4 linked regions of the Lepisosteus oculatus genome follow. The protein of the gene in region 1 binds, or shares a complex with, the protein of each later gene. Links are inferred from orthologs where the notes say so. Each region holds a gene or a part of one and is shown in the gene's direction. Other genes may lie near its edges.

What was found.
Region 2: ndnl2 (region 1) and nsmce4a share a complex: the UniProt entries of both Homo sapiens proteins name them as parts of the SMC5-SMC6 complex. The link is inferred for Lepisosteus oculatus from reciprocal best matches to the Homo sapiens genes NSMCE3 and NSMCE4A.
Region 3: ndnl2 (region 1) and nsmce2 share a complex: the UniProt entries of both Homo sapiens proteins name them as parts of the SMC5-SMC6 complex. The link is inferred for Lepisosteus oculatus from reciprocal best matches to the Homo sapiens genes NSMCE3 and NSMCE2.
Region 4: the proteins of ndnl2 (region 1) and nsmce1 are in contact, whole or in part, in a crystal structure (PDB 7DG2), measured with the Xenopus laevis proteins. The link is inferred for Lepisosteus oculatus from reciprocal best matches to the Homo sapiens genes NSMCE3 and NSMCE1. Residues at the interface, in XP_018121157.1 of Xenopus laevis: Gly57, Glu58, Val60, Gln61, Tyr62, Leu64, Ile65, Lys66, Gln68, Lys69, Val82, Thr100, Gln102, Gln103, Val104, Phe105, Gly106, Phe107, Asn123, Leu125, Gln126, Arg127, Val128, Gly130, Asp131, Gly132, Met133, Arg134, Asp136, Glu137; in NP_001083134.1 of Xenopus laevis: Ile5, Glu7, Gln10, Arg11, Leu13, Gln14, Ala15, Met17, Ser18, His19, Leu30, His33, Leu37, His38, Leu54, His57, Leu58, Pro60, Leu61, Phe62, Met63, Val84, Asn86, Ile88, Thr89, Met91, Ala92, Ser93, Asp94, Gln149.

What each region holds. Positions count from the first base shown.
Region 1 is NC_090697.1:67,138,606-67,145,869, forward strand, and holds the start of ndnl2 (necdin-like 2), read left to right. Parts: upstream 1-4,251; 5' UTR 4,252-4,356; intron 4,357-4,648; 5' UTR 4,649-4,653; coding exon 4,654-4,716; intron 4,717-5,732; coding exon 5,733-5,846; intron 5,847-6,569; coding exon 6,570-6,633; intron 6,634-7,053; coding exon 7,054-7,133; intron 7,134-7,264. Other genes in the region: itih6 (inter-alpha-trypsin inhibitor heavy chain H6), read right to left, coding at 1,010-1,150. UniProt on the Homo sapiens protein: Component of the SMC5-SMC6 complex, a complex involved in repair of DNA double-strand breaks by homologous recombination. The complex may promote sister chromatid homologous recombination by recruiting the SMC1-SMC3 cohesin complex to double-strand breaks.
Region 2 is NC_090699.1:29,679,757-29,687,421, forward strand, and holds the start of nsmce4a (non-structural maintenance of chromosomes element 4 homolog A), read left to right. Parts: upstream 1-4,646; 5' UTR 4,647-4,716; intron 4,717-5,092; coding exon of another isoform or gene 5,093-5,177; exon of another isoform or gene 5,178-5,303; intron 5,304-6,129; exon of another isoform or gene 6,130-6,235; intron 6,236-7,408; 5' UTR 7,409-7,471; coding exon 7,472-7,665. Other genes in the region: arginyl-tRNA--protein transferase 1, read right to left, coding at 2,097-2,196. UniProt on the Homo sapiens protein: Component of the SMC5-SMC6 complex, a complex involved in DNA double-strand breaks by homologous recombination. The complex may promote sister chromatid homologous recombination by recruiting the SMC1-SMC3 cohesin complex to double-strand breaks.
Region 3 is NC_090705.1:7,654,174-7,661,390, forward strand, and holds the start of nsmce2 (E3 SUMO-protein ligase NSE2), read left to right. Parts: upstream 1-4,217; 5' UTR 4,218-4,289; intron 4,290-4,308; exon of another isoform or gene 4,309-4,416; intron 4,417-5,928; 5' UTR 5,929-5,948; coding exon 5,949-6,063; intron 6,064-6,232; exon of another isoform or gene 6,233-6,770; intron 6,771-7,097; coding exon 7,098-7,204; intron 7,205-7,217. Other genes in the region: washc5 (WASH complex subunit 5), read left to right, coding at 50-146, 433-586, 1,568-1,655, 1,877-1,933. UniProt on the Homo sapiens protein: E3 SUMO-protein ligase component of the SMC5-SMC6 complex, a complex involved in DNA double-strand break repair by homologous recombination. Is not be required for the stability of the complex.
Region 4 is NC_090714.1:8,814,272-8,821,203, reverse strand, and holds the start of nsmce1 (non-structural maintenance of chromosomes element 1 homolog), read left to right. Parts: upstream 1-3,914; 5' UTR 3,915-4,042; intron 4,043-4,056; exon of another isoform or gene 4,057-4,160; intron 4,161-5,235; 5' UTR 5,236-5,261; coding exon 5,262-5,379; intron 5,380-6,932. UniProt on the Homo sapiens protein: RING-type zinc finger-containing E3 ubiquitin ligase that assembles with melanoma antigen protein (MAGE) to catalyze the direct transfer of ubiquitin from E2 ubiquitin-conjugating enzyme to a specific substrate.

The sequences.
Region 1 (7,264 bases):
TAGAAGCTTGGGTCCAGTGGTACGAGTCACAACTGGAGACTTCCTTGGTTGCAAGAACCTTGCGCCCGCCGTGGGACACGAACCCACTCCCCTGGGCTGTGTGTCATGTGACACACGCAGCGTATCCAGTGCACCGGAGTAAATTCCTTGTATATGAACTTTATTTGGCCAATAAAAGCTATCTTGATTCTGATTTTGATTTCAGTCTACAACTATTATCATTTACCTTTCAGTGCCACTATCCATTCCGTGACAGAAACAAACAAAAAGGGTTTAAAAATATAAAAGATTTACAACTGCTTAGATGAACTTCCGAAATGTGCAGGAGTAAGCGTTAAACTTTTTTTATTTTCTGGAGTGGGCTCTCGTAACAAGCGATTTATTTATGTTGGATAAAAATATTTTTCGGTAAAGGGTTGGAACCATTGAGTGCAAACATTTGCTCCCTAGGGCATGATAACCCCTCATCCCCCTGTAATACCTGCTCACACAATACACACCAATCAATACAGAAACATCTCTGTTTCTATGGACTCGTGGTCTCCTCTCATTTGTACTATTCTTTAAAGTCATTATCATTACAATTGTCATAATCAACAACAACAATATGGTTACGTTTAACGCTATGCAGTACATACCTCCTCACTCATTTTAAACGTAATAGCTGTAGATTGCTTCTTAATGCGCATGTAAACGAAGTATTGACAAATTTATCTGCGTGGATGAAACAAGGTGTGTTTATATATTAGTATACATATCGACCTTAAAGTCAGAACTTTGCGCCTTTTTTGCATTGTCTTTAAATACTTTATTCTGTACTTTACGCTTTAAATAAACAATAGATATTTCTCTTGGCAACCAGGTAGCATTTTTCTTCTTGCCAGTTCAAGAGCTTCTGTAGCTTATTACAATGATCTTGTTAACAGCTCTGTGGTACGAATACTTTCAAGCCCGAAGTCTAATATTGCTCCACAATAACGTTGTAAAACCAATTTTAAAAAGACCATACCTCCAGGTATACATTGGCGTCTGCTTTATTGGGTGAATCTTGGAAACGAGCCCGGTACTCCTCAGATGATCCTCTTTGGACAGATGTCATGAAGCAAAATAAGACAAAATATAGCAATGTGATAATCCAGATGCCTCTCATTTTTAGTAACTAATATTCTTAAATTCGCGGTTGATTTCCTGTGCTCTATGGCTTCAAATGAGCTGCGAGAAAACTAGTGCGCAGTTTATTTACAGATACAGATCGCAGCGTTTAAAAGCGCTCTCCTGGGAGGTGTGACTCTAGGATGTGTGATGTGGGTGCAAACGAAGCTTCATGAAACGTTGCTGTTTTTGGATGTGAGTGAAATGTTCAAGAGACAAAGGATTAAATATATACATTAATCCTTGAAGGCGCCGTCTTTCTTTGCCAGTTATACCTGAACGTAAACGCGTCATTTCAAAGGTTTAACGGGCTGGGACGTGCCTCTAAAGAACTTTCTTTCAAAGTCTGAAATATTGAACATTTTGACTTAGATATAGACGACCGTTTTAAAAAAAAAGCTAAAGGAAACACGTACATTATGCAAATGTACTTGCATAACAAGTACAGTAGGTCTGTATTATTTATATGGTAACGTTTAACGCCCTTTAGAGTGATCAGGTTTCTGTGTGGAAATCTGAAAAATACAGTTGAAAATGAGCCTTTTTACCATATTTAATATGATACGAGACATCTTTGCATTGCACATGTTAATTCCAATATGTGGGTTGTACATTTTAAAATGTGTACAAGAATCTTCAGAAACAAATACACAAATTAGCTTACAAGTCATACGTTACTACATATCTGTTAATGGCGATTTGCTTTAAAATGGTTGAACTACAAGGTACGGGAAACAGAATGTGAAGCCAAGCTCATACGTACACGAGAAAACAACGCAACACAACAGAGGAAAAGCTTTGCAAAATAAACTTCTCAGAATTTCCTGCAGAAGAAGGACGTGATTGACTGGAGCAGATTCCCATGGAAGAGGTTTCTGGATATTAACCCGTTCAACACTTTTCTGGTGGGCAGATAACATTTTAAACAGGGCTATACATTTTACCTCGCCTTCGTGCTGTATTTTAATGGACTGTTAGTCAAGAAGGGGGGAAAACTTTTATATAAACTCTGACCTTTACTATTACATCTGTGAAACGTCCGATCCATCTTGTCTAGGTCCAGACAAAATTATGTTTTTGAAATTCCAGAGAACTATCAATTCTGTGGGGTCAGGGTATTTTTTATTTAATGGGGTGTGCTGGTCCTGCAGGATGGGGAAAATGCACTGCTTGTGGTGGGTGCCTGCCAGTGGGTTTCCCTGGTCAAAGCTTGGTTCCCTGGGCATTATACTGTAGCGTTTTTGAGTTCACGTAAAACAAAGTACAAATGGAAACGTGATAGAAACACCAACCAACCACTCTTAACCACCTTTCAACACCAAACCAAGCACAGCATTTACACACACACACACAAGGGGACCGACGTAACACGTTCAGTTCACAGGTTTAGGGTGGTAACTCGTTAACAGAAGACTATACACTTACAAAGCTACACAGGACACTTTAACTAATATAACACTATTTACATAAGCAGGGTCAGCTGCTGGTCATCGTGCTGACCCTCAGACTCCTCAAGGCTACAACACCCAGCCTGCTTCCCGGTACCCTGAGTGCCTAGGTGTGCTTCCTCCTCACCAAAGGACGAGGGTGCTACAATACTCTTTACCAGCCTTTAAGAGTCTACAGGACTCTTAATAGTAATTATTATTTACACTTATATAGCACTTTTCTGGACACTCCACTCAAAGTGCTTTACAGGTAATGGGGACTCCTCTCCACCACCACCAATGTGCAGCACCCATAACACTCACCACACATCAGCTATCAGTGGGGAGGAGAGCAGAGTAATGAATCCAGTTCATAGATGGGGATTGTTAGGAGGACCATGACTGGTAAGGGCCAATGGGAACTTTGGCCAGGACGCCGGGGTTACACCCCTACTCCTTTCAAGAAACACCCTGGGATTTTTAATGACCACAGAGAGTCAGGTCCTCGGTTTTACGCCTCATCTGAAGGATGGCACCTGTTTACAGTATAGTGTCCCCATCACTATACTGGGGCATTAGGACCCACATGGACCACAGGGTGAGCGCCCCCTGCTGGCCCCACTAACACCTCTTCCAGCAGCAACCTTAGTTTTTCCCAGGAGGTCTCCTATCCAGGTACTGACCAGGCTCACACCTGCTTAGCTTCAGTGAGCTGCCAGTTGTGAGTTGCAGGGTGATATGGCTGCTGGCACATCTTCCTATGACCCATTCCAGGAATGAAGCAGGCGTGAGCGATTCATGGGCATAGACATTCTGGGACTTCTCCTCAGAAGAGAACATCACGTCAGGTGTGTCTTTCCTCTAAGGTGTCCTAAGAAAGAGCTTCCATGATCACTGAACTGCTTCCAGAGGTCATGATCAGGCTGTTAGATGATGTCCAAATATAATTCCTATTGGAACACAGTGCTGAAATTCACTGTTCTAAAATCAGCTTCAGAGCTCTTTGGACTGGAATGGTGGACCTTTGTAGACCTCCTCTTCAGCCAACCCCTGGAGGATAATGTATCGTGCAGGACAGTAATGTTTCAGTTACCTCCAGTGTCTTTACTGTGCCCACACATTTGCCTTACACCACCTGTCCAGAGTGTGGCCATATCACAGATGAAGCATTAGGGTACCCACACTGTGGTGGACATGTGGCAATCGCAACGTAATACTGTACATTGTGGAGTTCCGAGCCTCAGAGGAAGATGGAACTTTTCCCCTGAGCTTGTGATCACGTTGTTTTTATTGCAGCAGTCTGATTCTAGTAAAGGGAATCCTTTGCACGGATCAGAAACTACCGATAGTATGGTTGGTGGAAGGGCTGAAATGGGGAGATCGTTATTGTTTTATTTGCTTTTGAAAAATGTAACACAATGTGGCTGAAAATTAAATATTACTTTTTCGATTATTAGATTTCATTATTGCCAACCATGATTACATGTAACAGTAGGTAGCTACAGTACAGTAATAATCACTGTTATTTTCACTATCGTACGATGTAGACTCTTGCAGTTGTATCTTTCAAGTCCGCTGCGTGTTGCGTCAAACATTCTCTAGTGCAAAGCGAACGCAGCTACTTTTCACACGTGAGAATCCAACTAATCCTCTGATGTCACTTTAACGCGATCGTGTCGTAATTAAACCGCGCCGCTTGGGTAGGAAGGCGCAAGATAGTTATGCTTAAATATTAAAGAAGTGGCTAAACTTTACATTTCTAAAATTGTAGATAAAGGTAAGTTATTTTTTTTTGTTTTTGCTCCATGTAGCGTTAGCAAAATAATATACAGGTTTCTTAATGTATGAGTATAGTTTACATGATTTGTAGTGTGAATCATAGTAACATGTTGCGACTGCTACTGTTAAATTGGAAGGTTTTTTTTAATATTCCTTGCTCCTGAACGTAATATAAAAAGCTCGTATTAGTGTATGTTGAAACGTCATAGCTAATGGTCTAGATATAAATAGAAGCTCATATTTGACTCCGTCATTTTTGTGTACAATGCTTTTTGTTTTCTTATTTTCAGATTTCATGATGTCACAATTCAGGAAAAGGGTTTCAGCAAGACAGAGTTCACAGGGCACAGCCTCTAGGGTAAGTGGATTTCTTGCAGGAAAAAAATCTTCTTGAGTATGGCTGAATTAGAATAGTCTTTGATTAGAAGCTCAACTCGTTAGCCCAACTCATTGTAAAAGTTTGTAATGTAGGTACTAGCCTTTAAAGTAGAGATGTCAGTAAATTTACTTTAAGTAAAGTTACTTAAAATGTTTTGTGTAGCCTATGAATATAAATATTTCCCTTTTACTGTTTTGTTTAAACAATAATACTTTCTTTGGTGTAGTATTGGTGTTTTTTGTCAATTGGGAGAATATTAAGGTAAGTCAGGTCAGTTTAAATGCACCCTACAATCTAAGGATGGTAAAGAAGGTTAACAGCATTGTGGAATGCACCCCCTCTTCTGTGAATTTACACTGCCTTCAAGACGCAATGGTAATAAACTTAGAAATTTGTTTAACACCTCTGCCATTTGATTTTTGGGGAAAAAAGTAAAATAATTATAATATACTCCTCTGAATACTTGATTTGCAGTGGTAGTTATGTTGTATCATTTTGTTGTCCTCAAAACTAATATTATAAAATAAAAAAATATAAAATTTAACTTGAATTTCATTGAATTGTTTTCCTTCCTTATCCAGAAACGAAGTCTATCTTCAACTGAAATTTGAGTCTCTGCTAATCTTGCTAGATATGTATTTTGTAGCATGACAAAAGTAGCCTTTTAGATTTCAGGATGTATAGACAAGAGCAAGGGATGTTCATCACAAGGAATCAGTGCGATGTGATTTGTAGATGTGGATTGGCAACTACAGCACTTTATACTGGCTGTTCACTTGTAGTTTACCCTGAGTTGTTGTGATTGTGAATCAAAGATAAAAAATGAGCTAGTTTTATTCTCTTCTAGACTAAGTTGTATTATGTATAAGTTGTTTTAATAGAAACACCAGTGGAGGCTTTAAGTAATAATTCAAGTAAACTGATAATGCTAGTAACATTTAGTTATATAAATATAGTCATGTCTAACACTGGTCTCTACTCTGTTTTTACCCCAGTCTCAGCACACCGAGAGTAAAGATGAAGATGATGACGTGTCCTTCACCCAGCCCACATCCTCACAGGTCCAGAGGGGTCTGGAGCACCTGACTCCCACTCAAGTTGACCAAAAGGTAGAGTGGTCAGGGCCTTTGGATGTCATGTACAGGAACATTTTGATTTTCGTTTGTAGAAAGGAAGTAGTGCTTCTCTGTGATTAATATTTTGTTTAACAATAGTAGTTGTACCAAAATTTCATTTATTTGTAATTGTTCATTAGAATGAAGGGAGTATTTAAGCACTATTCCTAAATACCAATGAACCATTCCTTTTTTCTGTAGTAATTTCTGCCATGATGAAGTGGGTGGTCTTGAGATTTGTAAAACCCTCTTTGTTAAAGCTGAGTTGATAGTGTTCTGTCTATGTGTGGTGCAGTTAGACATACAGTATGCTATATAATGGATTGAGCTCAAGAGACATAACCATTCTTTTATGTGTTTTGCTTATGGTGCTACGATTGCACTTTTGTATTTCATATTTCTTTCTTTGCTCACAAAGTCTTAGAGTCTAATATACCACAATAGTCTTATAAAAACATATTTATAAAATTACAACGCTAAAAACCAGTTGGATATTTTTGGAATCCTTGCCATCATATGTGGTGTTTTTAAGCCCTCAGTAAAATCAGACTGTGCTTAATCTGAGAATTTTCCAGAGGTTTTATTAACTTGCTGCTTTGAGTTTATTGCTCCATTGTGATTTTCCACTTACATTGCACACTGTTACAGAATATTTGGTTTCTAGTTGTAAAGACCCCTGCTGACCACAGTATGTTTTTTTTGTTTTTTCTGTCCTAGGTGGCTGAGGTTGTGCAGTATATCTTAATAAAGGACCAGAAGAAGGTGCCTATCAAACGAGCTGGTAAGCATGTAAAATCTCAGAGATTAACTATTCAACAGGACTATCCCTTATAAGCCTTCTACAAACAACCAACCACACCTACCTGTCTCCACTCATGGAAAAAATCTCTCTGCCTGCTTTTCTTCAATAAACCTATACTGTCTTTACTTCTTAATCCAAGTAGTGAATCTGTAATGATCACTGTACTGAATTCAGGAGTGATTTTTAAATTGTTTTGTATGTTTTTAATTAAGTGACTTCCTCCAGTTGAGATTTAATGACTTATTTGGTACTTGGCAATTACACTTGTTTGTCTTTGATAAAAGTAACCTTTAAGGTTGATGTTTCATCAAGGACTTACATTGAGACAAGACGTCGTGCTAAAATCTGCAGATATGCAGCTTTTTGTGTGTTCTATATCTGTCATTTTCTTTCTTACAGATATTGTGAGGCAGGTGATTAAGGAATACAAGAATATCTACCCTGAAATAATCAAGCGAGTCAACAGGACATTTGAGCAGGTGACTGTTGGCATTTTAATAACTTATTGGAGGGGGTGGGGGTTCAAACAGAAAAATATAAAGAGCCAAAAATGGTTCTGCTTGCATTCTTAATGAAAAATGCTTATGAATTGTTTTTTTAAGGTAACCAG
Region 2 (7,665 bases), on another chromosome or scaffold:
ATATATTTATTCTACCCACCTGCCTCCCCACATCACGCAAAGTTCAAAGTGGTCTGAACTGTTTAATATTGGACCAACTAATATTAAAATTCCTAAAGAGCTTCCTGTGACCCCAAACTTATCCTTCACACACATCTCTTTTTTACGATGCCAAAACTTTAACTTGTTTTCAGTAAATGTTTTACTAACATGGCCTACAGGGATCTGTCTTTTGTCAGTCAGCCTACATTTTTCATTTATCCTCTGCCCGTGCTCTAAAAGGAAGGGAGCTGCAGATATCACTTCATCAGCAATATACAGAACTGCAAGCACCGTGGCACACACCTGTCTGACTGCAGGTTCTGTAATCCCCTCTGAAGAAAGCCAGACCCTTTGGCACACCTGCTCAATACAGACCATGCACAGCCGAAGAACAACAGTGCAAGGCAGTTAGCCAGTCATTAGCTGAGATGAGAGATCTGTCAGGCTCCTTTTCAAAGAACCCTGCAGAGCAGCTGGTCTTCTATTCATGGACTCTTTCCATATTGTAAACCACTTAGCTAACCTATACTGCGTCCTCTGCTTTTCAGCAAACAGCCCCGAAAAGAGAGAGCAACTAATTAACTGGTAACTTAAATTCCTAAAGCGTGTGGTGTGATATTTCCCCTGTTTTCTTTACTTTCAACTCATGCATTTTCCACACCGCCAATAAACAATATCTCATCATAAATTAATGATGATAAATCCTAAGATGGTATAGCAAAAACGTCAAAGTCAACTACTTGATTGAAGGCACATCTCACAACTGTCATCAATGAAACAAAGAAATAAAATGCAGAAATAAAATACTCCGTTTACTCTTTCTTTTTGCCATTACTCCAGGTGATTCTGATGCAAGACACTAAGTTAAAGAAAACCAAAAGTAGATATTTTTGCTTTAAATAAACTGCTAACAGGACAGAGTCTAATTATATCACTGTGCCAAGTAGGCACTATTGCTGTGCCCTAGCCATAGGCTCCCAGGCCACTACACATTCATACACCACCGCGCAGTTCTGAAACAGTATACTGGGTGATAAAGCACCCGGGGAGAAAACACATGCCTCTCTAGCCGTCAGCACTGCAGCAGAAATATTCAGTCCTTATCCAGAACTGGTCACACAGTTCACTGCTACATGAGCAGTACAGTTAAGGGAAAAAGGGAAACAATTCATCTAGTGGAGCAAATCTGAGTGTTCTGTTCCGCAGCAAGACAAACCCAAAAGGAAGAAAACAGACGTCATGCAGTGTAGACTCTGCATGTACAGTAGATTCACAAAACACAATTAGTACCAATACATGACATGACAGCACGTATGTTTTTTTTTACTGCAAGAGGAAATCAAAGGGATAAATCAAGGGATCATTTAAAAGCTACTCCAGAATTTAAAGTGGAAATCTTTCAGAGATTAAAACAAGGTAACAACGCATTTATACAGTTCATAGGGCATAGATCTAATCACTATCTTGATAAAGGACTGGAACCCCAATCGTAATACTGACAACAACAGAGTGAACTTCTTCATGAGAGCGGGATTCCACGGCTCAAGCTGAGATTCAAAATAACTTTTCAAGAACAACTTTTACTTTCTCTCTCTGGTGTGGTAATGAACCTTGTCTGTTGTACTGCGGATAACAGCAACCCGGCTACAATGACCAGCCATTACGGCGATGTTTATATAAACCTAAACACATAAAGACAACATATCTTAAAATACTAGAACCATCAACACATCCGTTTGCTCTAGCACAGCATCTCAACTAACCGGCACTAAACAACTCCTTAGGGGCGAGAAAATGGTTATGAGCTGCAACTTGCACGTCCTGTACTCTATAATGAAAACACTTAACCAAAAAATATCCTAAAATGCACAGTAAGCATAATGGCAATGCACTAAAGTCCTGCATGTAATCTTTTACTTAAATCACAACGGAGCGGGTCGGGCGCAGCTATCATCAGGACCATAATAAATTGCATAAATAAATTACTCCTGTGTGCACATCTCTTTCTGCTCTGGTAGAGAAGCTACAGAACTAAACAGAAGAGAAAGTTAAGAGGGACGGCAAAGCTGCCTTACCATGGGAGAAGTTCCCATGCTCGTTCTTGCAGTAGCCGCACCGGTAGCCATCGTCCCCTCCGAAATACTCGACTATGGTGTAAGAACTGCCCGCTGCCATTTTAGCCGATTGTTAGCCGATTCTGACAACCCGGCGAACTTCCTTATGCGTAATGCTCGCTTACCTACAAATACCACAGACACCAAACCGAATAATTATCCTATTGGACTCATTAATATTTCCTGTAGCGCCATCTTCCGTTCCCTCCGCGTAAAGACTGCTGCGACCTGGGAAAATCTTAAAACGACAAGACTGGTTTTAAACTAGAGAAGCTCCTACAGCCCATGTTTCCGTTTTGTTTTCAGTAGTGAACTGAACCAAGTATCAGCTTCAACGGCATGGCTGGACAGCTCGCTCCATATTCCCATGACCCTCTGTGTTACAGAAATGCCCTCGGTGTTCTCAGTTTCAAGTGGACTTCCACAATTAAATTCCTTGGATTTTAATTGGAATTTAAAGTAGAAAAAGGAATTCCACTTTAAATTCCTTGTCATCCATATCACCGAGGACCTCACATGGTCTCTCAACACCACCTGTCTGATCAAGAAAGCGCAACAGCGCCTGTACTTCCTAAGACGGTTGAAGAAGGCTAAGATATGTCCCCAGATCCTCACTAACTTTTACAGATGCACAACAGAAAGCCCACTGTGTGTGGTATGGCAACTGCAGTGCTGCTGACCGCAAAGCCCTACAGCGGGTGGTGAAAACTGCCCAGTTCATCACTGGGGTTACCCCCCCATCTATCCAGGACATTTATGACAGACGGTGCTTGAGGAAAGCTCTAAGCATCATTAAAGACCCCACACACCCCAGCTACAGACCCTCTACCATCTGGAAAACGGTACCGGAGCATTCGGGCCCGGACTACCAGACTCAGAGACAGTTTTTACCCCCGCACTATCAAACTATTAAACTCCCAGCCTCTCTCACTCTCACCTCACCTCTCACCTATGATCTGAACCTCACAGTGCCTTTTCTTTCTTACCAAAATCCCAAACACACATTTAAAATATACCTCTATCATACATGTCAAAAGGTCACTCCCCATAATTTCTATCCTTTCATTCTGTTAATGAATGTTTTTGCACATAACCTGTTACCTTTTTGTTGTTTTGCACATTGCCTGTTGTCTCTGTCTTTCTTTTGTTATACAATTGAATTGTTGTTGTAGTTTTTTTTTCTTTGTACTACTTATGTCCGAGAGCTAGCTAAATAGCATTTCGTTATACCATATACCTGTATATGAGTATAATGACAATAAACTTGAACTTGTAACTTGAACTTGAACATAGCATCCTCTTGTGTCCTGTGTTCCGTGTTCTGCCATTGATCTTAAGGAGTCAATTGGATTAGATTTCCTTGGAGAAATTGTGAATGCCTGAATCAGGTCACCTCACAGCTTTCACTGTTCAAGAACAAAAAGGTGAAATAATTTTAGTCCGTGTATGACACTCCTTTGAAAGCAGGAATACATCTGATTGCTCTTTTCTGAACCGATTCCAGAGCAGCAATATTTGACTTGTACTGTGGTGTTGGTACAGTTTTCTAACTGAGATCTTAATAGTGCATTGGACGGTTTAGCACAAAATTCCTTGATTTAACTATTTAAAGGCTGCACAGCTACCTATAAAACCTAAAACATCTGTGTGACTTTGGGAATTCAACTTTTTCAGTGCATTTGCATAGACAATTTCAGTGTCACTTAAAAAAATATAATTTCTTTCAGTCTGATCTAAAATTGCGTGACAATGCAAGAAGGAGCCAGTAATCCAGACACACAGCCAGATGCTCCTGAATTTATCCACAAATATTGAAAGTCTCTGCATTGACAGAAACTACATACATTAAACCAACCCTTTCGTAGCAATTTTCAGCAAAGACCAAAATGCAGCAATTACGACTATCAACAAGGTCTTTTTTATTATTCAAACATCAGAATATGAAGTTCTACAGGAACCGTACACAGGAGTGTGACCCAGCACATCTAATCCATCTTATCTTTTTAAATATCTGACAGGACCAGCTCTTGTGTTTGAATTAATAGTAAATTTCAGTAGCATAATTACAGTACTGATTGTACCAAAGGCTAGTACATGAATGAGCTGAACGATCTAGTTTAGACCCCCATCTAAAGCTGTCCAGCCCTGGAGCGCTGCCTTTCTGCATCTTCGGGTCTTCATTCTGATATAACTCGCAGTTACTCATATAAATCCTCCCAAGGCTGGAGAGTTGAAAACAAAAAGAGAACCACTAAGTTCTCACTAAGATTACTGCTGGCTCAACTGGAAAATAAAGTGCACGGATACTGGGGTAGGCCAAGTTCAGCATTTGATTATAATAACTCTAATAATATTCACATTTCCCATGAGCTTTATGGGACGTTTTTGAATATTCAGGGAGACCGAATTTCCCCTGCATTTTATTCCTGAGATGGTGAGATGCGGCAGCGGATTAAGACTTGTAATTCCGCCTGTCTGTCGCCAGGTGGAGACAACGCTCCAGCGGAAGCTATAGCCTCTTCGGACTTCGGAGAGGGACCGGCGTTTGATCAGCTGATTCTTTGACTTGCAGAATATACAGGTAGTGGAAGTTATTGTCTCGCCATGTTTATTTTTGCATGACTGGAATTTAGCATAATTAGACAATATAAAAAACGTTCAGTCTTTTTATGGTACAGTACACCTACTGGTATTTGTATCGCACAATTCGGTGAATATACCACAGGTTTACTGTAACACTCAGGTCCCTTTTTTAATAGAACACACACCTTTATCAAAAGCAGCCCCATAAGAAATGAGTGATCGGGTTCAAAGAAATAACTAAACATAAATTAGATGTATTGTAACGGGACTGTTAATTAGCCACGAGTTATCAAACAACTGTGTTTGGTGTATTGTTTTCCACTGTACTCGGCTGCAACCACACGTACTGCGCATCATAGTTCGTCTGTACTTACTAAAAGAGACCTTGCCCTCACTGGAGCCGCAGTAGCCACAGCTGTAACCATCCCTCACTCCTCTGCTCTCTATGATTGAGCACATCCTCGCAGCCGCCCGCCGCCCAGACTGACCGTCCCGCTGCAGCCCAGACCCGCCGGCGAGCTTCCCCGACGCGCCCGTAGCCCATTGCTGAGCCACGCTCTTGCGACACAGTCTTGTAGTTTCCCAAGTAAACTTGTGTCAAGAAGCAGTCACATGGGGGCAATCAACTACAGTATCTGCAAGAAGCCTCCCTTGTTGAACTTTAATATAATTTAATGCGTTACGAAAACTGAACATCCAACAGGGAATTGTAATATTGGTTTAAATTATGTATTTTCTATAGATAAATTACTAGTAGTTTTCCAGAGTCCTTTGTGGACAGAAGTATAAATTACGATGAAGTGTATTTATAACTGATAACACGGGGCAATTCTAAAAGGTATGGCCGTGGGAGACGAACAAGTGACCAAGACAAAAACGTCCACTTGAGATCTGGGAAAATTACCTACTAAATACCCAACGGGTGGGATGGATGGATGCCCTCTTGCTCTTGTAATATTTCTTAAGGTTTTAATTTAGGAACCTCACTGAACGTGTTCATTTTTCCTGCTTTGAAGAGATTAAAGACGAGTTTCACTTACTTTGTTAACGTGAAAAGGAGTTCGAGTTATTTGCATGCTAGAAAATGAATGTAACGGCAATTGAAATATATAGATAAAACAGTATTTGAATGTGGAATGATTTTACGGTTAATAACGCATTCTGTTTTGCATCTTTTTTAGAAAACGGCGTTTTTATTTACATTTTGTGAAACGATTTTGGGGAAGTCATCTAAAATATGTATTACTGTTTCTGAGATAAAGACCAACTGTTGTCGTAAAATAGCAGTGTTATTACGTGGAATCACAACAATAAACATTTGAAAAGATAAAAACAAAACGATACATGCTAGTCTGTGAAACCATGTCATGCACAAGCAGGAACCCTTTACGGAGAAGAACAGGGGTTGTTCCGGACGATAACACGATCGCGTTTTACTTCCGGTTCAGCACATAGACGTCTACTTGAAAACATTGGCGGCTGGTGCACGAGAATAAACAAACCGAAAGTTTAAAAAAGTAAGTTTAATCTCATTGAGAATCCGGATAGGTGAAGATGACTGTAAAATCATAGAGATGTACTGTGTTGTGTGAAAGAAGCAGTGTGTCACGCCCTGTGGTTGCGCATTGTGTTGGTTACCTGTAGTCATGTATGACAGATCTTCAACACGTAACATTATATTGTAATGTAGTATTTATGTAAAAAAAGTTGATATTCTCACTATGGCGTTTTTTTACCACATTTTGAAAGGTGATACAAGGTTGTAATTTACCTAAGAGAGCAAGCGACAATCTAGATCTGTTTTGATTTCATATTTCGATTGTGATCAGATCGTTAAAATGTTTTGACTAATCACTAAAAAATTGGGATTTGTGTAAAATATATTAAATTGGTTAATGATGTCGTTCCTGTTCCAACAACATTTATCCAAGTGTAAATAATAGGTATTTACTAGATATATGCAGGCGCTGAATGTCCTCTAGCCTTATAACACGTCCCTTCATGTATTGAAGCAAAAACCCCACGCCGGTTTGTGTTGTGCACGTTTTGGAGATGAATCGCAGGATAAATAAAATAGTATTTCAAATTGAGTTAAAACTAAACCGTGAAGAGTCACGGTTTTAATCATAAGTAAGGATAGAAGGCAGACTTCCAAAGTTGTTTGATTGTTTTATATATATAGTTGGGCTAGTTTTAGGCTTTCGTGCACAACAAACTTTCGAGGGGAAAAACTGATTATTTTTAAGTAACTCCGTATAGTTTAACTCTAAATGTCTATGTAAGTATATTCATAATAAGATATGACTTACAATGAGAGAAATATCCTGTGTAAGAGGATAGCTTGTAATAGAAAGAGCAAGAGGGCTTAAAATCTGAATGGAAGTCTTTCATTTCATCCATAGTAGTAGGACCTGGATGATTTATGTTGCACTCATAGAGAATTTGAAATGCATGCAATATAATCTGTCTACACACCACCATGGCAGGACAATAATTGCGAGGGATAGTGTGAACACAGCCCATTGAGCCTGTCCAAAACAGATCTCACAGAATCAAACGAACAGGAGGAGACAGTGGATAAGGCAAAGTGGTTTTGTTTTTCCATAGTCCAGACTGCTCCGTGCTTTATTCTCTGTATTCTCCGTCTTGCACAAACTAAAAGATGACATCCTTTTTTTTTGCGCGACCAGGCTCATCTCTGTAGCCTTGAGGCGGGTTGTGGCTATTGAGGTGCCCCACAGGAGCCGGCAGAGATGTCTGAAGCAAGAAGAGCGAGCCACAGGTCACAGGAGGCCCCTGCGCCACCGCAAAATGGCGTTGGGGTTCAGAGGCGGGCTGGGGAGGACAGCAATGAGGAGGAGGGCTCTCGGCCAGGGGGCTCCAACATTCACGAGGAGGATGACCCGGCCACTCGCCGCCTCATCAGGCACCAGTACAGGGAGCTCAT
Region 3 (7,217 bases), on another chromosome or scaffold:
CCAATCAGTGAAATATTTGTGCTGATTAACTTTTTTTTTCTTGCTCTAGATCTACATAACCACCAAGCGGTTACCATATTTCCCCATTGTGAACTTTCTGTTTCTCATTGCTCAGCTTCCTAAGCTGCAGTACAACAAAAACCAAGGTACGAAATTCAGCTTTATAGCTCAGTGCAAGGCTGACATTTTTTTGGGCCGTTGTTGTTTGTGTGTTGCGTAATTTTAGACTTTGTATAAGCCTGACTGACAGATTTAAGTGGGATAGTTTTATGGTAATATTTCTATTCTCTGTGCAGTGCAGTTCTTTGACTTAAGGATCGTCTTATTTGTAATCTGCACTTTCAGGCCTCTGTGGTTTAGCCTTTTTTCAGTTCTGCTGCTGTTTCTGGTCTGTCTGTGCGAGTCTGTTCCAGTTTCTTTCTGCTCTTTCAGGAATGACCTGCAGAAAGTCGACTGATCCAGTTGACTGGCCTCCTCTTGTGCTGGGTCTGCTTACCCTCCTGAAGCAGTTCCATTCCAGATACACTGAGCAGTTTCTGGCTCTGATTGGCCAGTTCGTTCGCTCCATAATGGAGCAGTGCACGAGGTATCACACTACTGGGATTATTCTTTGGAAATGCACAAAATAGAACCCCTGAAATGATCACTTCTGACACGTCATCTCAGCAATTCTAAAAATACAGCAGACTATTAAGAGAGAGATTTGGTCTTTTTTTTTAAATTGTACCCATAGCTTGTCCATTAACAAATGGTCTCTGTGGCATAATCTAACCATATCTATTAATAAGGCTGTAGGTTCAGCCACAGTGGAGAATGAATCGCATTCCCCAGAAAGCTGTGCGGAATGAGTTGCTGCTTTCAGTCACTTGACCACGTCAGAAAATATGATTGGTTTGCTGATCGTGTAAAAATCAAGAAGCGGGAAAACCTCCAGGAATGGTCTTTCATGTACTTTCTGGGGACAGAGGGCAGATCCTCCCTATAGCAAATGGAACCATCTGACTGTGAGGTTATCTTTAACTACCACCTGACCAATCATCTCCTCAGAATTTGTCAGGTGACTGAGGACAATAGCTCATTCCCAACTGCAGCCTGGGTAATGTGCTTCTGATCGTCCCTGAAGCTACTGCCCTCTTACAGTATTGTTTCCTGTATTTGCCTGTATCCCACCCAGAATAGATCTCAACTGAGTCTTCACTACCAGTGATGTTCCCCTTTTCAAAGCCATCTTTCCTCACTAGAACAAAAACAATCAGGTTTGAAGATCCTGAGGACTTGGGATGAGAAGCCCAGCATTGAGGCATTTTGAAAAAGCCGTCATTCCGAGTGCTGCTGATTTAAAAACAAAAGTGGTCTCTTTCACTCGGGTCACATTTTTTCACATTATGATTTACGCCTATGGTGCCCACTTCTTTAAACGCAAAAACTGTCTTTGTTTGGAGCAGGGTTGAAAAAAGCCTACAGAAATCCAGCAGGAGCAATATAGAGTTGCTAAGGTTTTTTTTTTTAGTTTAATGTTCTTGGGTGCAATTCTAGGAGTCAGCGTTTTCTTCTAATGTATTCCCAGCCAGAAGATTCCGGAGATGCCGTCGGATGTGGTTGGGGCGCTCATGTTCCTGGAGGATTATGTGCACTATACCAAACTCCCCCGGAAGGTAAGCGGACAAGACCAGCTCTTGACCCCGTCAGGCTTAGTTCCTGTGGCTTTTACACGCAGGGGGGGAATTTAAAATTGAGAACCTCCTGGGCTGTTTCAATAGTTCCCTAATGTTAAGCAGTCGGCTTAATTTAATGTCAAGCTTTTGATCTGGCAGTGTTTGTTGCTGTCTGTTTACCTGTGAAATCTCAACATGGTGCCGTGTTTTTTGTTTCGCAGGTGGCAGAAGCCCACGTCCCCAGCTTCATCTTCGATGAGTTTCGAACAGTTCTGTGATGGGGCTGGTCACAAGACTGCAGCGGGGGGCCTGGGCCTTCGTATGACACGGCTCACCCCCTTCATCTCAATAGCCTGCGGGGGCTTCAAGCTCTAATAGGCCTTTTTCGCTTCTAGGTTTCTAACCAACGCAGTGACTGAATGTTTAGTGTCGTTAACTACGTGTCTTTAATATACAGCTATTAACTGGATAAAATGTGTGCAGTTTTGCTAAAAAACAAGTTGTCTAACAGTTTATACAAAATGCCATGTGATCTCTTATTAATAAATTAGGTGCTTCACTGTTTTGGCCTTGGTTATTTAAGCGGTACCAAACCTGTACCGTACTCGCTTGATCTACTCAACTCGGGGAAATGGAATTTGTTTTATCAGAAGAAGTAGACTTCTCAGAACGTTCCTGCCGCATGTGTGTCATAAGATCTTAATTGAGCATAAGGTGGTGGAACATTCAGTGGGTCTTTTATTATGTTTCTTTGGCAGCAAAAATGAATGGTTTTTCATAGGCCATTCCATCATTAATATTTGAATGGTCTCCCCAACCATACAAGACTTTTATATGACGCATGGCATTTCAGTTACATTAAGATTAAGTTTAGTTTTGGACCATAACATTTTCAACAAATTACTTAATTTTCATTGGTTATGTACTGTCTGGTGTAAAAAAAAATATTTTCCACCCAGTGGCAACACAGAGGTATTTCGATGTGGGGGAGTCTGAAAATTGTGATTGATATCAGTGCCCTGTGGCAAATCACACAGAGTATTGTAGTGGTCACTGGTGATAGTGATTAAATAACTACAGTACTACAGTAAAAAACTAAAGTACAGTACACTTCTTCTTTATGTCTGTTTCTTTAGTGACCCACAGCACTACTTATTTTAATACTTTGGAAAGTTTACGACAAAACCTCATCCTTCAGGCACTGAATTTGTTCTTAAATCGTGTTGGCTATACACGTATACTGTTGATATTCCATACCAAAAAAGAGTTCTCATTTACAAACATTACAAAAAATCTTACATACTGCATCCAACTCTAGTTTTATCTGTGTAAATTAGTGGTATTCCGTGTCTGTAGAAAACATAGCACATTTCTGCTTTGATTCAATTAAAACTTCTGGTAAGTATCAACCAAACCATCAGCCAGCTGCAATATCACCCTGCAACTCACAACTGGAAGCCCCACTGAAGCTCAGCAGGTGTGAGCTGAATGGGAGACCTGGAAAAGCCAACGTTGCTGCTGGAAGAGCTGTTAGTGGGGCCAGTAGGGGGCGCTCACCCTGCAGTCTGCGTGGGTCCGAATGCCTCAGTATAGCGACGGGGACGCTATACTGCAAAAAAAGGTGCTGTCCTTCGGGTGAGATGTAACACTGAGGTTCTCCCTCCCAGTGGTCATTAATCCAAGGGTGTTGCTCTGGTGTCTGTCCTCCTAATAGGGCGGAGCGGTGGCCACTGAGCAAGGCCCTTAACCCTAACTGCTCCAGGGGCGCCGTACAATGGCAGACCCTGCGCTCTGACCCCTAGCTTCTCTCTCCCTGTCTGTGTGTCTGTGTCTCCATGGAGAAAAGGTGGGGTCTGCGAAAAGACGAATTCCTAATGCAAGAAATTGTATAGGGCTAATAAAGAAACATTACATTACATTAATAATCTCCATCTAAGAATTGGCTTCATCACTCTTTCTCGTTCCCACCGATAGCTTTTGTGTGGTGAGTGTACTGTGCGCACTATGGAGGAAGTTAATAATAGCAATGATAATAATAATTATTATTGTCGTTATTATTATTAATAACCAAACATGGACACCAAGGACATGTTGAAATTTAATGGTATAGAAATTTAGAACTGAAAATAACCGTGTATCCGACTGAATCCCGTAACTCTCCGTAATCCTAAAGGAAACAGCTAATAAGGGTCTTTTTTATGTTCAGCATCTGTAATAAACCACTATAATTGACATGATAATTTTATCTTTGTGGTATTTTTTATATTCCTCTCATTTTACAGTATAAAAATTAATTTTAAACAGTCTATAGATTATAATCCCTAAAAAGACATATGTATAGGCACATCTAACACACTTTGGGTTAATTTAGGGTTTGTTTACACGAAGCCTGTTAGTATAAGCCTGTGATATAGCCTGTTGGTCCCTTATTTTAACAGGCGGTGGCACTAAAACCTAACTCTCCCTACCGAAGGTCGCAGCTCTTACGTGTTTCCTTTGAGCTAAGGAGCGTTGCCCCATGGGATACGTAGTTTGTATCGTCGTGGCTTCCAGTCCAGAAGGCAAGAAAATAACTACATGTCCCAGAAGTCAACACCAGGAAGCGTGATTTGCGGGTTGGTTTCAAAGTTTCAGGTTTGTGAAGGTGTCTTTTTTTCTTAAACATTGTTTCTGCTGTAGTTCTTACAGTGTTTAAGCATGAAGGTGATTATACAATAACATTTATTTCGTTTGTGGTAGCAAGTATTGCCGGTCAACTCAGGTTTGTATTATAGCCGCAAAATATAAACAATCCATCTGACGAGGTAATTGCTCGTCTCATTGGTGTATCTAAGCTTAGTGAATAAATGATCTTCACACGCCAGTTATAATTAGGAAAGTATCGTAATTAAAATCTTGCCAAATATAAATTTAAGCCCAAACCACTGAAAACTGTTTGTAGTGGCTTACTTCCATTTCATTCGATTTTAGAGTCAGGGTTTACGCGGCGATTTCTTAAGCTTTCTGTGAAAAATATATAATCACATTAATATAATATAGTCACATTCAAGGGATTTGGGGTTAGTAATCAGATTTCCATAAAGCACTGTAGTATCGTTGTTAGTACCTTGTCTAATTTAGTGCAATAACTTTCGGATTATGTAGAATTAGCTGTCATTTCATTGTCACGTTGTTGATGCACATTGAGCTTTCTCAAGGATGTACTATGGCACTGTAATCTTAAAATGAAAACCAAGATTAAAGGTTGTGCTTTATAATGCATAAAAAATGAGTCATATATACAACAGATTCATAAAGTGAAGTGTTTGTAGCAGGCGCGCTGATATTTTACTGAAGACTCGTGACCAGTGTTAATTCAGTGTTCTGATCAACTCGGGGTCAGTTTAGCCGTGAGAGTCATCATCAGAAGCCGTGCAAGGTGCTCATCTGTGAAGCTGCAATTCTTGCACTAAGTTGCTAAATTACTGTTGTTTGAAATAGTTTGTTTAGGCTGTACTGTCCGGTCTTGGGAATTTACAAAGATTTGCATACACGTTTTGTTTTAAAAATATCGATCCATACCTGTTCAAAATGCTCCCGCTGAAGACTGTGGGTTGGTACATTTCAGTAAATGTTAGCAACACCCAGAGACAAGGCTGAAATGTGTTGATTGCACAAGTATTCAGACCCAGGAGCTCAATATTGAGTGGACACCCCTTGGGCAGCCATTCGTGCACATTTCTAAAAGCGGATTTGCTCAAGTTCTGTCCTGTTGCTTGGGGATCACTTGTAGACAGTTCTCAAGTCTTTTCTTGAAAATAAACTATTATGGCAGACAGACAGAGAACACTCCACTGATCTCCTTATGGTAACTCTGTGCACCTCAATTAAAGTTTGCAAAAACAGAAGATTTGAATACTTATGCAATTGTGACTTTTCAGTTTTTGCTTCCAATTACTATTTGTGTACTCTTTTTGCTTTGAATGTGTGTAGTAAAATGTAAATATGCCAAATATTAATTATTACTTCAGAGTGTCAGGACTACAAGATTTAAAAGCACCGAAAACTGTGCAAGGAACTAAGTACTTTTGCAAGGCACTTGTACTGTATAGATTAACAATTTGTGGAAGTGCTCCAGAGCATTTTTTCTTCTCCCAGAATAATGAGGGTAAGGTTTTATGCTTATATTCATACCTTTTTTTCTTCGTGCGTCACGCAATTTGTTCGAAGCAGTTGTGCAAGAGGCTTTAAAAGGACAGGTGCTTTTATTTTTCTGCTTTGGTTCCTGCTGCAGTTTCAGAGAGCCGTGCAGCAATGTCGCTGAACGTGGTGAAATCAAACCTGACCTCCCTGAAGACCTGCCAGCCTGACATCAGTATAGGCATGGACATTGTGACTAATGTGGCCCTGGATTTACAAGAGAACGGAGGTGAATACTTTTATATGATCTGGCAGGCCGCGGCAGACAAACAGAATCAGTTTAGAATTGGTTGACTGCATGTATTCGTGTAAATATGCATCCAAATGTATGTATGTGCTTATGCATACATGCACACTGCCGTTAAAATGTTGGGATAAACACCAGTTCATTTTGCAGAAAGGTTAGTAACATAGTTGACGCTGTCAAGACAAATATGTCTTTCATATATATATATTCAACAGAGGATTCCAAAATATATTGAATGACTAAATACTTAATTTTCATTGAAAATATAGGTGGACATCATTGTACACATATCCTCTCTATGCAGCACATTATGTGGCTGGGAACCCCTGCCACATGACGTGTTGGACCTCTGAGAGCGGCGTGGGAGTAAAAACATTAAGGGCCATTTGGCCCATTTGGTAGTCAGTAGCTAATTAATCCAAGGATCTCATACAGCCATTTCTTGAAAGAAGCCAGGGTGTCACCTTAAACCACAACCACATGGCTGGTTAACTTGTTCCACACCCCAGCCACCCTTTAGGCTGAGAAGGGCCTCTGTATGTCACAGCTCCGCAGTTCATTCATGTTCCTTCGCTGGTCCTTTCATGATGCCTGCAGTACTGACGTCACGATGAGGGTGACGGTGTGTGTCGGGGCAGACCTGTCGTACAGGTTTCCAGCAGGTCTCGGGCCTGAGGACTGCTCAAAATCTGTGAGAGAGACAGAGGAAACAAGTCCCGGGATCCTCAAACCTCTGAGCAACTCAGTTTGTTAATATTAATGAATACATTCGTATATATTCATGAATATATGCAGATGGTAGTCGATAGCTAAGATGGTACTGTATTATCTCTGTCATGATTAGGTTTATAACCTCCATTTCCAAATTTGCCTGTCTTTTTGTTGTTTTTTTTCACCCTTTCTGAATGCTTGATATGAGGTTTGTCTTTGTGGACGTGTAGTTGCAGTGCCGACCCTCCAGTTCCCAAAACGGGGGGGAAAAAAAGGCTGGCGCTCACAGCTCCTCTAAATTACAGGCAGCGAGGAAGATTTCAAGAAGCTGGAGCAAATGATGCTGAACTGTGCAAGAATGGAGAGAGAGATCAACTATTTTGTAGCAGCAGTGGAAGAAGTGACCTCACAGGTAGGACAAGAGG
Region 4 (6,932 bases), on another chromosome or scaffold:
TTAAAGGAATCGGGTGAATGAGCACTTCTTATATATTTGTTCTTTGCGAGATTTTAACTGAGCATCCAATAAGAATGTTAAAAAGTAATCAATTTTAACAGCAGAACACACCCATAGGTCGAACAAGGCCATTGCAGATGTAAATGTAATATTCATCCGTTTTTTCAACATAGTAATCGCTTTGTCACCCCCGGAAAAAGAGTCAATATCCACCTTGTATGATGCCCCCTCAAACAGTTCGTAGTGTCTCTGGAAGCTTATACAGTAGAAGGCTGATTTAAATAAAAGCTAAACAATCACTGATTGTTGTACAATATTGTTATAAGCATCAAATAAATAGCTTATTTTAACTCTCTACTAATTCGCTTTTTAAACTAACCTGTTAATCAAATTACATATGTACATGTGCAGTATATACTGTGCCTGATATATCATGCACTTCATAAACTTAACTGGAACAATGAGTTGCATTAGCACAGTTCTGCACAGCTTTAACAGAGCCTTACAGTACTGCGAGTCGTCCAGGTTTCAGTTTTGCTTTATTGAAATGTAGGCAGTGGGGAAACCAGCATTCACAACCTATCGTTGTATTTCTGGTGTTTACTACATTCTGTTTTCGTTGTGTTTTATTTTTCTATTTTCAAGTGTTGATATTTTATGCTGTTTATTTGTACAGCGCTTTAGGTTCTTGTAAACAGGAAAGTCGCACTATACGTTCGGTCATACGCAGTGAAATACTCTCCCCTAAAGAAAGTTGCAACATACAGCTAATAGAGCTGCAAGGGATGCCACTTTTATTTTCCTGACACACTAAACCGGTGTGTGCAGTCCTGCGAGGACTCACAAGCCGCGACCCAGTGTCTCGAACTGCGGTTTCGCCACCAATGAACCGGAACTGGGGACCAATCGGACTGCGCATGTTCGTGTTTGGGTACAGCCGGTAATTTCGTCCGGGTGAGAAGGAGCTGTGCTCTTGCTAGTAGCGTGAAGCTAGTTACACTAAGCGACACGAATGATCCGGAAGTGTATGTAAATAGCCGAATTTCAATCAAAATAAAAGTTATTCAGCTACCACAGGAGCGTATGAGGAGTATACTGTAGCAACATTAAGCGAAGTGACAAGCAGCTGAAACTTCTGCTTTGTTATTTCTTCGTGGTTAAATGTAATTCCTTGAACATTCCGCCAAAATTTGAGAGGGTCCTTTTTAATTTTAAATCGCCTCCACTAATCTCCAATTCGACAAATCTAAGATTATTGGAAGTTTTTATTAATTTTACAGCACATTTCTTCCATTTATACTACTGTAAAAATTGTCATTGCTATATTTTTTCATATAAATGTTTTTTGTCTGTTCAATGCAAAAGGTTTTAAGATGGAAGCTTTTAAAGGAGCTGTATCTGAAATTTCTAATTAAATCAAATCCTTTATTATATTTTAATTCAATCAGTTTTTTAAACTATAACCAGGGACAAAAACATATTTTTTGCACCATCAAAAGTAGTGTAACATACAGTTTTAAGACAGTCAGCCAATAGTAAATCACCCTTCTTCATTCAGTTTTAAGTCTTTATTAATATTGTTGGTCTGGGTGGATCACCTCTGGAAAAAGTTGTGATTCTCAAAAGGTGGATGGAATCTATTGCATAGACCCTCAGCTAATAGAAAATCACCTTGTTTTTGTCAGATAAATGTCTGTGTCAAAACTGCTGGGGTTTATAGAGCACCTCCCATTCCCAGACTTGGACAATGCAGTGATGGTGCAGGGAGAGGTCTAACTCTCCTCCCGACCAAACAACAATTTGTGCCTCTTCAAAAATACCTCAGATCTATTCTACAGACCCTTGGCTAAAAGAAAATAACTGTGTTTTTTTTTCAGATAAGTGTCTTTGCTAATGTTGCTGGGGTTGATAAGACCACCTGCTGTTCCCAGACTGGGATCGTGCAGTGATGGACAGGGAGTGGTCTCACTCCCCTCCCGAACAAAACAAAATTTGTGCCTCTTCAAAAATACCTCAGATCTACTCTAAAGACTAACAGCTAATAGTACATAACCATGGATTTGTCAGAAAGTGTCTTTGCTTATCAACCAGGTGGATGCTGCACATTGGTGGTGGTGGAGCCATTACAGTAAAGCGCTTTGAGTGGAGTGTCCAGAAAAAGCGCTATATAAGTGTAAGCAATTCTTATTATTATAATTATTTGCTAAAGTTGCTGGGGTTTATAGGACCGCTTGCTGTTTCCAGACTGGGACTGTGCAGTGTTGGACAGGGAAAAGTGTAAACAACAGCCGTGATCCCAACCAAAGTAATGCTGACACTAAAGATCATAGTATTGTGACCAAAACCATAGATGTGACACGGAGTAACCATTCTTAGACATAGAGTGGATGACTGGCAGTGTTTTGAAAAGGCAAAAACCATAATGCATCTGTAAATTACCCATCAGCCAAAAAAAAACCAAAGGTGGGGTGCGATGCTTGCTAAATGAGGGTTTTAACTTTTAATTTCTGTGCAGAATTTATATGTCCAAAGGACAATAGGCCATACAGCTAAAGCAGCGTTTGAATGCTGTCTGAGTAGTTCTACACTCAAAATAATAAAAGCTGATCTGATTTAAGAGAAAGTCTAGTGTTTTGATGCAGAACACCTGCAATGCATCTTTACTTCCCAGTCTATCGGAACTCATGGGGGGAATCAATTATCAACTGGTACTTGGGCAACATGTGAGCCATCGTTTCCACATTACCGGATCAAATCAAAAAGGCTCCATGCCATGTCTTTGGCAGAGCCACCTTCCCAGGAAAGACACATCACCATTGAAGGTCTATTCAATATTTTGGCTGTTTCGATACACTTTAATAAGAAAGTGTGAAATTGACACTTTATTTCAAACCAGAAAAGAAGATCCACTGGTGAAGTGTTAACAATGCCCACATTGCGATAACATGCCCTTCGAAACAAATCTAGTATCGGCCACTAAAAGGCCCCTATAAACCCCAGCAACATTGGCAAAGGACGCTCATCTGGCAAAACCATGGTGATGTACTATTAACTGAGGATCTGTAGAACAGATCTGAGTCACTTTTGGAGAGGCACAAATGTTGCACATCGCTACACAGTCCCAGTCTGGGAATGGGAGGTGCTCTATAAACCCCAGCAGTTTTGACAGAAATGCTAATCTGAGAAAACCATGGTGATTTTCTATTAGCCGAGTGTCGGTAGAATAGATTTGAGGTGCTTTTGAAGAGGCACAAATTTTGGTTTGGTTGGGAGGGGAGTGAGACCACTCCCTGTCCACCACTGCACCATCCCAGTCTGGGAACAGCAGGTGGTCTTCTAAACCCCAGCAACTTTAGCAAAGACACTTATAATGACTTATGCATGATCCATGGTTATGCACTATTAGCTGAGGGTCTATAGAGTAGATTTGAGGTATTTTTGGAGAGACACAAATGTTTGTTTGGTCAGGAAGGGAGTGAGACCGCTCCCTGCCCATCACTGCATGGGCCCAGTCTAGGAATGGGAGGTGGTCTATAAACCCCAGCAGTTTTGATAGAGACACTTATCTGAGAAAACAATGGTGATTTTCTATTAGCTGTGGGTCTGTAGAATAGATTTTAACTACTTTTGGAGAGGCACATTTTTTTTTGTCAGGAATGATACTTTTTCCTGTCTAGCAGTGCACAGCTCTATGTCAATTTGCAAGGAGGAAGTGATATAAAAACACCAATAAGATTGCAAAAAATTAATGAAGAATGGCAATTTTATATTATTTGTGGGTCTATTTATCACATTTCACATAGTTTTGAGGATGAACAAACTGTTGTTGTGCTATAAATGTGACTTTAACTGGTACAGGATTATTTTATATGAGCCAGGTTTTAGGAGACTTTTATTTTGAAAGGTGCTGCCAAGCCAGAGTCGTTTATTGTAGCTAGCTTCACGCTATTGCTCTTTTGAGTTTACTGGTCTCTTCCAGTGTATCTCCAGAGCGTCTTAACCTGCAGGAACAGGTCACATTGATACGGTTCGGCTCTTTGGAGTATGTAATTTTACTGACTTGTACAAACTACTATTGAGGAGAGTGATTTGCGTACTGTCTGTTGTAGAGGATAGACTGAAACTACTTATTTTGTCGTTTTAAAGTCTGTAGGCAAACGGTAAGACATGTTATGTAAAGGTTACGTGACTAAACCACTTATTTTTAAGGAAGCGAAAATCATTTTCATCTGGTTTCTCATGTGATGTATGTGCGCATTGTCCAATCACGACTCTCTCTGCTTGACATTTGCCAGTGGCAATAGTAGTAGTTCGGAGGAATGTGGATTGCGGTGCGGTCTGAAAAAGTCATATTTGAACACATAACTGAACTATAGTAAAGCTATAATCGTACGTGTAACTTCGACAGTACTTGTATTTTACCGTGGAATATTTTATTGAAAAGATGTGTGAAAAGCACAAGGAAACTATATAAATTGCCAATATAAGGAAATGCAATGCGTAATTAAAATACCAAGGCCCCAGTAACACGCTATAACTGGTATTGAAATATTTGTGCTTTCCTTTTAATCCAGACTTTATTAGGTTATTATTTTATCAAATACATTTTATATTACTATTTGCAAGGACTGTAATAATATAAAAAAGTGTTTGTAAATGGTTCTAACTGAATATTATTGTTTTAGCTGAATATTATGCCTTGTAACACTGCAGTATTTCATTGTGTAAAGTAAATTAGGTTATCACTTACTGTAGCTGCCTAGCTTTTATTTTATGGCTGATTTCCTGTTCAGCAGGGGATAGTTTATTCCTAACCAAGAGATCGTAGTCATGAAGTTCATATTCTTAAAATGACAAAAATGTTGAGTTATTCTTCCTGTCTAAAAATTACACTCTATGATTCACGTCAACCTTATTTACTGAATAATAATAATATTCCAAAAAAGCTTTCGCACCAACACCGTTTTAGTTCTTATTGTTTGTTTTTTATTGACATGAGAGTTTCTTCACAGGTTTTGTGCTAGCCTTAGTGTTTTTATTAATTTATTTGTATGCATTGTTTCTGCACATATGTTCCCTGTTTTTAATATACAGTGTATATAATTGAATTTAAGCATAAGGTCAGACTAGATAAGGGCATCTTAACAATATTTTGGGTAGTGTGTAATACGTTTTCAGTTCATTAGCAGGCTTTTTTCTGCAGTTGATGGCGTGCTCTTTCTTGTTTTTTGCTAGGGATTTGGGGAAAAAGAACCTAGGCTATGGCCAAGCACATGACGGACAGCCACCGGAGGTTCCTCCAGTCTCTGATGTGCTGTGGGATAATAGAGGGCTCCAAAGCCAGGGCCCTGCACAGGCACTGCTGCGAGGTGCACAGAGGTAAGACAAGAAGATGCCTATTCCTCTTTGCTTCAGCTGTTACCAAGAAATACATTCACACCTTCACTTTCAGTGTGGTGTTTTGAAATATTTCTTGTCCAATATCAAATCTTATTCACTGCATTATGTCACTAGAAAGATGCTTGTATTGACATGCTGTTGAAAAATAACAATACTGTTGTAGGTAGCTGCGTCAGCATGTTTAGGTTGCAAAGGAACAAGTAAAGGTTTATTCCATGCTGGAAAGAGAAAAAAAGCCTCTGTGGAGCCTTCTTTGGGTGTGGGTCTTCTTCTTCACGCACCACAGCTGAAATGTTGTATTTGTTGTTCCTTTACATACTATTGTTTTTATGTTTAATATCATTTGCTACGAAAGCCTAATGAAGTGGTGTTCTTTCATTTTTTAAAGCCACATATGTATGCTTAAATAACCTATAAACCATCAGTCCAAGATCTATTCTGATGTTTCTTGGTTGTTCTGTGTTATGAGTTGATTCTCTAAACTCATTTGAGATCAGTAAGGTTTCCTACTTGAACATGGCTTGCAAAAAAAATACATTTGCTTTTGAATCTCATGCTTTATTGTATCATCATGTGTAAAAGCATGCTACTTGATGATTTCTTTACAATTGTTACTCTTTTTGTTAAAAATCCATTCCTTCATTATTCACACAAGCAATGTATGTTGTTCACAGAATAAACAGACAGCTTAATTAAAAGTAGCAGTGAAAGTTGATCTATTAGATAAATTGACTAATCACAAGTGTGGATAATATAAGAATGTGCATGCTAAAATATTTAGTAAAACACTATTTTCTGTTTTAACATTAAAATATTAATAAAATATGTCTCATTCTCTTATTCCCTGTCAATTTCTTATTGAACAGCGATAAACACCAGAAGCTGGGATAAAAATGTGCAGAATTTCATTAGCAGTACAGTAATCTGTATATTATATGGCATTATACTAAACACAATAAGTACAAACACCAGCACATTTTCAGGTTGTCCATACTTCATTGATCTGGTCAACAGCTTTTATTAAATGCTTAAGGCTGTGTTGCTCAACCTCTGGACCCACTGACCACCACCAGTCTTTGGAACAGTGCTGACTGAGACTTCACAAACTGAGCCATAGAGGCATAGTTATAATGAGTGAATTTAAGACTGTTTCTTTTATAGTTTTGCTTTTATCTTAAGAAGTTGACAAATAAGGAAGAAGAGCTGATCTCTGGCACAAAAAAGGTTGATAAACACTAGTTTAAGGTACCAGAGATGCAGAATAACTCTGACTGTCCAAAATTGACAGTGATGTAGACATTAACTCTTACTGGCTAATACATTAGGAGCACCTACTGAATAATACAGTATATCAGGTTTCCATGGCTGAAAGAATAGTTCAAGTGTGACTGACTTGTCATTTATTTCACAAAGTTTTGAAATATTTGCTACCCAGTCGAATTCCATTGTTCTAGCAGGATCACCAAGTAAGGTCTGTGGCACTGAACTGCATTTTATACTGTTTTTACTGACTTTCCACAGGATTAAGATAT